2 linked regions of the Bombyx mori genome follow. The protein of the gene in region 1 purifies or fractionates together with the protein of each later gene. This does not show direct contact. Links are inferred from orthologs where the notes say so. Each region holds a gene or a part of one and is shown in the gene's direction. Other genes may lie near its edges.

What was found. The genes of interacting proteins can lie anywhere in the genome.
Region 2: the proteins of circadian locomoter output cycles protein kaput (region 1) and timeless purify together in Drosophila melanogaster (affinity purification with western blotting, with the first as the bait; 4 studies listed by BioGRID). This does not show direct contact. The link is inferred for Bombyx mori from reciprocal best matches to the Drosophila melanogaster genes Clk and tim.

Annotation. Positions count from the first base shown.
Region 1 is NC_085107.1:11,774,017-11,778,551, reverse strand, and holds part of circadian locomoter output cycles protein kaput, read left to right. Parts: intron 1-2,486; coding exon 2,487-2,634; intron 2,635-4,535. UniProt on the Drosophila melanogaster protein: Circadian regulator that acts as a transcription factor and generates a rhythmic output with a period of about 24 hours. Oscillates in antiphase to the cycling observed for period (PER) and timeless (TIM).
Region 2 is NC_085110.1:8,682,283-8,687,573, forward strand, and holds the start of timeless, read left to right. Parts: upstream 1-1,884; 5' UTR 1,885-3,129; intron 3,130-5,291. UniProt on the Drosophila melanogaster protein: Required for the production of circadian rhythms. The biological cycle depends on the rhythmic formation and nuclear localization of the TIM-PER complex. Light induces the degradation of TIM, which promotes elimination of PER.

The DNA of each region.
Region 1 (4,535 bases):
CGATAAAGACACAAGTTTGCGCGTTCACTGCGAAGAAGGACCCCTTTGTCATGGCGCCGCAATTCCAAGGAGTATCCCTACAACCTTCCGAGAGTATTGGGATACTTTGGGTCGACATTTCGAGCGATGTCCAGTTTCGGAGTCATTTGGAAGGCAAAGCCAAGTTGGCGTCCAAAATGCTGGGAGTCCTCAACAGAGCCAAGCGGTACTTCACACCTGGACAAAGACTTTTGCTCTATAAAGCACAAGTCCGGCCTCGCGTGGAGTACTGCTCCCATCTCTGGGCCGGGGCTCCCAAATACCAGCTTCTTCCATTTAACTCCATACAGAAGAGAGCCGTTCGGATTGTCGATAATCCCATTCTCACGGATCGTTTGGAGCCTCTGGGTCTGCTGAGGGACTTCGGTTCCCTCTGTATTTTGTACCGCATGTTCCATGGGGAGTGCTCTGAGGAATTGTTCGAGATGATACCAACGTCTCGTTTTTACCATCGCACCGCCCGCCACCAGAGTAGAGTCCATCCATACTACTTGGAGCCACTGCGGTCATCCACAGTGCGTTTCCAGAGATCTTTTTTGCCACGTACCATCCGGCTATGGAATGAGCTCCCCTCCACGGTGTTTCCCGAGCGCTATGACATGTCTTTCTTCAAACGAGGCTTGTGGAGAGTATTAAGCGGTAGGCAGCGGCTTGGCTCTGCCCTTGGCATTGCTGAAGTCCATGGGCGACGGTAACCACTCACCATCAGGTGGGCTGTATGCTCGTCTGCCTACAACGGCAATAAAAAAAAAAAAAATACGAAAAATATTTTAATATCGCCATTGGCATTTATTTTTACTCTCTATTGATTATAGGTATTATATAAAAGTTTAATAATGCGTCAATACTGTACTTGACCTAAAAACTAATATCGAACTGCAGAATAGCAGAAATTATTGTTTTGTATTGAAATCCTACAATATTCCACAAGTGTGATGTTTGTTCGATGGCTTCGAGCATTGTGGTATTCGTTGAATGCCTTTAATTAGTTTCAAAACCTAATTACTTTGTATAGTATTAATTCATATTATTATTATGCAAGTAAACATGCATTCATGGAATTGAAAAAGTCATTGCGACATTGGTTTACTGTTTCGGAGTAACTATCATAATTCACGATTGATTACGCATATACAGGTAAACCTTAAAAAGTCGTAAAACAAAAAAAAATTGTAAAGGTCGTAAAACATGAGATCGAAATCTCATACGCATTATATTAAAAATCTCATACTGTACGTTAAGTTGAAGTCATTTTTTATGTATAGTTTTTTTATTTCTATCAAACAAAATGTGCACCCATGGTATCGGTTCATCCCTACCAGCGAAGTGCTAATTTTTAAATGCCATTCTTGACGCAATAGGACCAATGTTGTTGTGATACTAAAATTGAAAACAACTGCTAACTCTGCAGTAAATTGAGGATCGTCAGCTTCCACGATCGCCTTTAATTCGTCATTGTTGGCCTAAGTTTTCGTGCGAATACGGGTTTCATCAATTTCAATTGAGCAGTATTTTAAAACGGCAATTTCATAGGCAGATACCTATTACGAGTATAAAGGATGTAAGAATCCCTAGGGTTCAAATATTGCATAAATGTATTTTTGATTAATGCATGTTTCTACTGCATATGATAATTATTCCGGGTTCGACGAATCACGTTAGTCGGAAGAGAATATTGAAAACATATTATGCTGTCAACAAGATCTCTTTAAACCAGAAACATGTCAATGCTCTCTCTCCGGTGAATGTTCTAGATAAATTTTGATGTTTGCAATACAAATTCATGACTGTTGCACGTCACACCATAATAATATGCCGTTTCATGAATATATTTCATATTAATTTATGTTACAATAAATTGTTGGGTCAAACAAATTCTTACCGTCCATTGTTGTTGTATGATTGATCGTTTTTATCACTATATTGTCGTTAACCGATACTATATTTTATAACTCAGATTTATACCTTTAAAATTAGTTCCGTTACTTATTTATAATAGAGATTTGACATGGCTGGGCGTATGAATTATTGTGGTTTTGAAACCTCAAGGTTCCACCACCATCGTTTTGACTATTTCTGCCGCAAAACAGGTTAAAAAAAATCTAAAAAAAAAACATCATCCTATTGTCGGATTAGCATTGGCTTAATCGTATTATTTGCTTAACAGAAATATGTTTACTTTAAAAAGTATAGCAACAATAATAGGACTTTAATGATTCGAAATCTTTAATTTCTAATTAATAAAACATTACTTTATGATATAAGATTGTATAAAGTAATTACGCTAAACAAATAAACCGGTCTCTACTGGCTGTCAAGTGATAACAGAACAACTTCATTGACCACCGTTTCCCATTTATTATTACGAGTATGTATATTATGTTAAACAAAAACATCAAGAGCTCCCCAAAAAATAATCTAATTTAGATGTATATATTTGTTTCCAGTGATGCAGAAAGGTGAACTCACATCCTGCTACTATCGATTCCTGACGAAAGGTCAACAGTGGATTTGGCTTCAGACTCGTTTCTACATCACTTATCATCAATGGAACTCGAAACCGGAGTTTGTCGTATGCACTCATCGAGTTATTAGGTAAGTTTCGCAATTTACGTACTCAACCCGCTAAATTGTAATTTGCGTAATTAGTGGTATTAGGACCTCTTGTGAGTCCGCACGGGCAGGTACCATCGCCCCGCTTATTTCTGCCGTGAAGCAGTAATGCGTTTCATAAATAAAAAAAAATGTTAGTGATTCATCCAAATTTATTTTATCGCCTACATACTCTACTTGATATGCTCATGCACACGTAAACACGTGTTTTTGATAAAGTCGATTCACCGAAAGCCTTCTTTAAAAGTTTTCAGTGACTCCGAAAATAGAAATTTCATTGGCGTTGCAAAATTTAAGGCAAACTCTTTATTTTATGTTTTTGTCCATTATGAAATTTCCTAGAGTACGGTTGTATGGCTAGAGGTACAACCAGGCGGAAGCCTACTGTAATATGCTCTCCTCAAACCCGGTGTTTGAAGAAAGACTTCTCATAAGTTAACGCCACGAAGGAAAGCTTATTTCAAAATTTCATAGTATGTCATGGATATATATACTCAAATGATAGGAAATGCAGGAGAGGATGAAAAGTAATAGTGATGTGAAGATCTATTGACTGGTCCATTTCTCTTTAGACCAAACACTAAAAACAAAAAAAAAACATTTTTACTATTAGGTATTTGTCATAGAGAGAACTAATGCTAGATATGTTTTATTTGAAGACTGTTAAAAACTCAACAATGACGGTACAAGATAGACAAAACGTATCTGTGTATTTGTAACTATATGAATTTCAATGAGTATTGAGAAACGTTGCCTTTTTTTCTCCGTACATTTAGTATTCTAATTTCTGTGGATTATGTAAACAGTCAACTGTATTTGTTACACTAAGAATATGACGTAACACGAAGACAGATATTCCAGAAACAAACTACGATTTGTGCGTAGAGAATCATATCGACGCCTGAAAGACAAACATGACTAAGCGACAATGCGTGAACTTTACAGTAGACTAATTTATAGTTGAAATACCTGAAAAAAAATCTATTTTAACGAATCTAGCTATAGTATTGAAATTATTTTAATAGACCTAGAAATATATATTTTTTGCGCATCGAATATGGTTATTGCCCATCACTTATGTACAAAGCAGTTATTGTCGCTTAGTCACGTTTGCCTTTCAAGCGTCGATATGTACTGGGCTCGGTATTGTTGACACTAAAAAACTATTGTTCTTACTGATGATTAGTTGTGAGCGATCGAATTTGTATGTACAATTAATTCTATTTATATATTCACGCATTGCGAACACGGCTTACGTATATAAATTAAATGTAGACTAGTGGTCCCGCAGTAGTCGAAATTCGACTATAATTAACTAAAATTATAAGTTTGAACATTATTAAGGTTCTATTGTCAAAGACTATTATTATACTTCTATAATCACAGATTTCGACTACACTATAGACAAATCAATATAAAGACAAACAATATTAATATATTCTCAATTTGATCACATTATAAGCAATAACAAAAATTTGACAATAAACAAAGGGATAACAAAAGTTTGACAACAAACAAAGGGTATGTGTGTGTTGTGTCAAATACATGGTGGTCAATAGTGTGTGTAATATTTTTATGTATATTTTATGTATAATTTTTATATTGATCTAATGTATTATTAATGCATTTTTTTTTTTAAATATTAGCTTTCTGCACTCCTTGTCTATATTCTCTATAAGTGTGGAAAATTTCTTACTTCTCCTTTTTTGCTTCACGTATTAATATATAGATAGATATGTCTATTACGTCAAAACTTATAAAAACTAAAGTGAATGTAAATATAAATTATTATATTAAATAAGAACTGACCCGGCAAACGTCGTTTTGCCATATAAATTATTTCTAGGAAAGACAAATAACCTAGATACCGACTGCAGCGCTCT
Region 2 (5,291 bases), on another chromosome or scaffold:
AGCCCTACAAACCTGTACATATTTATAATTAGTTCGTTTCCATTTTACTTATTCTCATCCCAATTGACCCCTTTTTCGTTCTTATTTATACCTGACACGTCCCCAATATCCCCAAAAACAACAGATTTTTACATGTATTTTTATTTTATCAAAAACATTAAAACCAATAACAACTGATACTTAATGGTTCAAACTCTAAATAACGTTTATAAATCACAGTCGTCTTCTATTATTATCAGATAAATAAAAGAAATCAAAGTTTCTAACACTAAAATAATTACCACCACAAAAAGTTAATTTGAAATGTGATTTTTTATAAGTTAGCAGCTATTATCACACATATTCAGAGTTGTTTTGTGAACTTTCAACATTCTACTATTACACTACAAAAAATAGAAGATTTTGCAACGATTATAAAACTAATATTGAGCGTCGAAAGATTTTCTTGGTTTTTTCCCCATTCGCCTCTCAATCCCTAATCGCCCCATTTTACGGTACTAATATTCCTGCTAACAAAATATACTCATGAGTGTAAACAAAATTAGATTAAATAACCCATTTAGAGAGCTTGCTGATGGCTTTTGTGGAACTTCTGTTGTGAAAATGGTAAATTACGATTCTCTTCTTCTTTTTCTCAGCCGTGTCACTCTTGACAGAGTGGTTGTGATCGTCATGTAGTGTTGGAAGGGGCAGACTTGATAAAATATATTTTATTATACGATTATAAAATATATTTTAGCGACAGGTAAAGCGAATACAATAAGTTTTTTTGTTAAAATTGCAGTAATCGCGCGTAAACTCAAACGAAACAAGATGACGTTTACTAAGACGTGACGTCATTCGCTCTGATTAGTGTTTAAGGTTTCAGCTATCATGGCTGATTGTTGTATTTTGTTGATTTATTTTAACAAACAACAAGAGGAATTGTTCGAGACGATACCGGCATCTCGTTTTTACCATCGCACCGCCCGCCACCGGAGTAGAGTTCATCCATACTACCTGGAGCCACTGCGGTCATCCACAGTGCGTTTCCAGAGATCTTTTTTGCCACGTACCATCCGGCTATGGAATGAGCGCCCCTCCACGGTGTTTCCCGAGCGCTATGACATGTCCTTTTTCAAACGAGGCTTGTGGAGAGTATTAAGCGGTAGGCAGCGGCTTGGCTCTGCCCCTGGCATTGCTGAAGTCCATGGGCGACGGTAACCACTCACCATCAGGTGGGCCGTATGCTCGTATTCCTACAAGGGCAATAAAAAAAAAAACAAACAAACAAATCATAAATCTCGTCATTAATATACCTAAACACATTTTTCAAAATCTAGGAATCCTGTTTCATTAGATCAGTTATATATTTTAGCGATACTTGACTACTGTCATCATGCCTATTCGTCGAAACCCCATTAGGAAGCAAAAAAAAACTTGTGATTCAGAGATGAATCTGTTGATGTGTGTAGCTTTAAATCACAAGCATCGTACATATCGTTCATGAAGAACCTTGTATACTCGATGTTTTAGGTTTAAAATCGATGCATATGAACGATACATCGATGTTTGAGAAATCTTAAATAAAGAAAGAGACCAAAAATGTTACGCTGATTTAATATTAAGCTATAACATAAATAAACTTAGAGCTACAAATAGGATTGTTTCGATCACGAACAAGATGTTTAAATTATATAAATCTTTCTAAAAGAGCGAATTTATTTATCGGTAACCAGTTCTTTATATCCTATCCAGAAAATATCTAGCACTGATTTCTAAATAGATCATTCTAATATAGTTTTTATATCGTTATATAGTTTTCAATCATATAGTTTTTTGCTAACAATCGTAGTTATTCATTAAAGGTTGACTGACACTTGATAATACTAAGGGCCTGGCCACAGCTACTGGCGGTGCGTTTTGCGGTGCGTTGCGAGGCGCGGCGGGCGGCGTGATTTGCGGGGGTATGCCACAGCTAGACTAGTTGCGACGGCGGCGGCGTCAGAGGTGGACGTATTTAGAAAGCCCTATCAAAATTCCCTTTCAAAAGTGGCACGATATTACCTTGAAATAAGTGCGTTCTTAGCTGAAGATATTATTCAATCAAGAATAGGAGCGCACCCAGTAAGAAAAAGAGAGAACTTGGCGAATTCCACCCTATTTATTAGGTATTATATTAGGAATATAAGAACTATCCCGATAAATAGATTATTAATAGATTCAACCTTCACAGATATTACCAGGTTCAAATCTAAATTTACCATACGTGTTAATTGCTGATAAAGCCTATCCTCTTAAAAATTATTTGATGCGCCCATATCCACCGGGTGGTTTAAATGCGGAACAAATAATTTTCGACAAAACATTATCCCGGACAAGTGTCACAATTCAGTACGCGTTTGGTATTCTAACTAATAAATTTCGTATTTTTACGAAAAGTGTACAGGCAAACAAAAAGCACGCGACATTGATTATAAAGGTTTCGTGCCTTAACAGAAAGTGATGGAGACAGAGATGCAGATTTTCAGCAGTTTATTTCCCAGTTTGGAGACTCCAATATTCACAATAGCGTACGCAGATCAAGACGGAATAATCGAGAAACGGTTCAAGCATCTAGAATACGAAATCAATTCAAATTTCAAATTTTATTTCAATAATCCTATCCAAGAGTATCTAGGAAACCATTAGTACCAGAAAATTGTTGTTTTATTTCATCCCACATTTTTTTTATAACATGCCTATATTTATGATGTGGATGTTTTGACATCCATATTTCTGGTCTACTCAGTATTTCACTAATGAATTGTTCCACATCCATTATATTTTATTAGCTCAACGCGCGGTAAAAACAAAATGATTTGTTTCGGTCGCGCGATGCCTCAATGCGTCCACCGACACCGCCGCGCGCGCCGCTCTGAGCTGTGGCCACCTCCATATTGTCTAGTACATTTGTTTCACTCGCACATGGCGCAGCTCGTCGCCGCCAGATGTCACGCACCTCTCACCGCGCCTCGCAACGCACCGCAAAACGCACCGCCAGTAGCTGTGGCATACTTCATAGGTTGTCTACCATTTGTTTTCGCCGCTCCCGCTTGCCGCGCCTCATGACGCACCGCAATTCGCACCGCTCTCGGCTGTGGCCAAGGGGTAAGCCTATTTATTTAAGCGGATTCGTTACCGCTTTCCTCCATCTTGCTTTCGGCAGATTCTACTAATCAGACAGTTCAGTTTTTTAAATGATTAAAAAAGGAGTTGTATATTTGATCGGAAATAGTTAACCCTTTTTTCAGTGTCATGTTTCGCCCAACTCTGGCCATAAGTATAAATATTGTGTACATTAAGACTACAAAATAATGTACTATAGCTAAAATAAAACTATAGCAATCTACGTACTACGTAGTACGTACGTCAAGCCGACTCAAGCCTGCCCTCAGGAGCACGTGCGTCGTACACGCGACTTCGTGAGCGTGACCTACTATTGGTTCGTCGAATAACGTTGTTTGTAGTCACGTGGGCTACTGTCGTATATTTCGTTTGTAATTTGTTTTGTATCCACATCCACAAGGAACAGTGCGAACCTTACCCAACGAAGGAGAAATACGTAATTAAAGCGTTCAGTGGTTAAAGTGTCTGTTTCGTTTGGGGTTTTCGTTCATATAGTTTTCCTAGTTAACATTACTAACTAAAATAACTTGTGTGAAATAAAATTTAAAATAATTATGGGATAAAGTGCAATAAACATATTTACGTAAGTATTTGGATTCTTAATTTTGAAACTTGTTATCCATAGCATTAGTATTTAATGAAAATGAAAAATATTACAAAAAATATGTTTCTAAATTGGATTTTAAAAAAGACAAAAGTTTTGTGTTGTATTCAGAAGTATTCTTCGTTGTGAAGTATTTTGAGAAGCAGTTCGCTTCTCCTTTTACAATTTCCGAATGAAACTAAATACCGCTCTACCGTATACCCTCGTCCCATCATCCGCATCCATAATATATGCCATCATTTAACTACACACATTGATTATGTGTTTTATTTGGAGTATAAAAAAGCGTGGGGAACACCGAGCCCTGTGGTACACCAGCATGTTATCGATGCAGCAGTCTCCGAGATCAATTTTGATACTCCGTCCAAGGAATTGATGATATGTACCAAGTTTCACATTAAGAAGCGTGTTAACGCGAAGTAACGATTTACTATAGACTTCAAGCGGCCATGGCATTATCAGATTAATCTTAGCAACGACGTCACTAATTTACTATAGGTACTAACTATGACCTCCCAGTCTCGAAGGAGAGTGTTATAGCAGAAGCGATAGCTATTGACCACTGAGTTTCTCGCCGGATCTTTTCAATGGATGAGGTGGACATTGGTGACAACTACGAAATTGGTACTTTTTGAAATACCATATTAATGCGGATCTCGATTCGGAGGCACACCTCTTTAGTACCTACACAGTATGGGCCTTCTTCTGCCGTTGTAGTATGCGCCAGACTGCTACCAGACTTACGCAGAGGCTATAAGGTCGGCAAAAAATATTCTTCGTAGCCTTCGATTCAGATCTCTGAGCCTGGATGCGAAATATGATTTGAATTTTTTTTTATTGCTGACTAGGCAGACGAGCATACGGCCCACCTGATGGTAAGTGGTTGCCGCCGCTCATGGACGTCAGCAATGCCAGGGGCAGAGTCAAGTCGCTGCCTAGCGTTTAATACTCTCCACAAGCCTCGCGTGAAGAAAAACATGTCATAGCGCTCAGTGAAGACCGGAAAGGGGAGTTCAGTACATATCCCATTCGTGTAACGCTTAGGCCCAGAATGGGGTTTCTCCTTTCTGCCTTTTCTCCGAACTGTCAGGATCCCGGCGTCTCCTAACATCATTCCATGCCGCGTATGCCGACTGCTTGAGGCGTGCAGCATCCTTACTAGCTTTATTATACCGAGGTTTTACTGCGACCCTCAACGGGCACCTCCGAAGAAGGAATGAATAATTAATTCCCTGAAGCACCACGCCTTTAAGTCGATCCGCACAGACGTCAGGATCATTGGAGGAAAAGTAGAGCCGCCTCCATGGGTAGGATGCGTAAAATTCACGGGTTCCACCCCAATCTGCTGACCTGTACCGCCCAAATCTTCGAAACCCGGTCGTCGTTCAACGACCAGGGCGAGAGAGTGGTATCGCAGAACGGATAAGCCAGTAATCAGACGATCCAAGGGGAGCGTCGACCACCGCACTGTATCCAGCTAGGGGAGAGTGGTTAGCAGAAGATCCAACAAAGAAGGCTCGTGAATCTTAGTGTCTGGGAC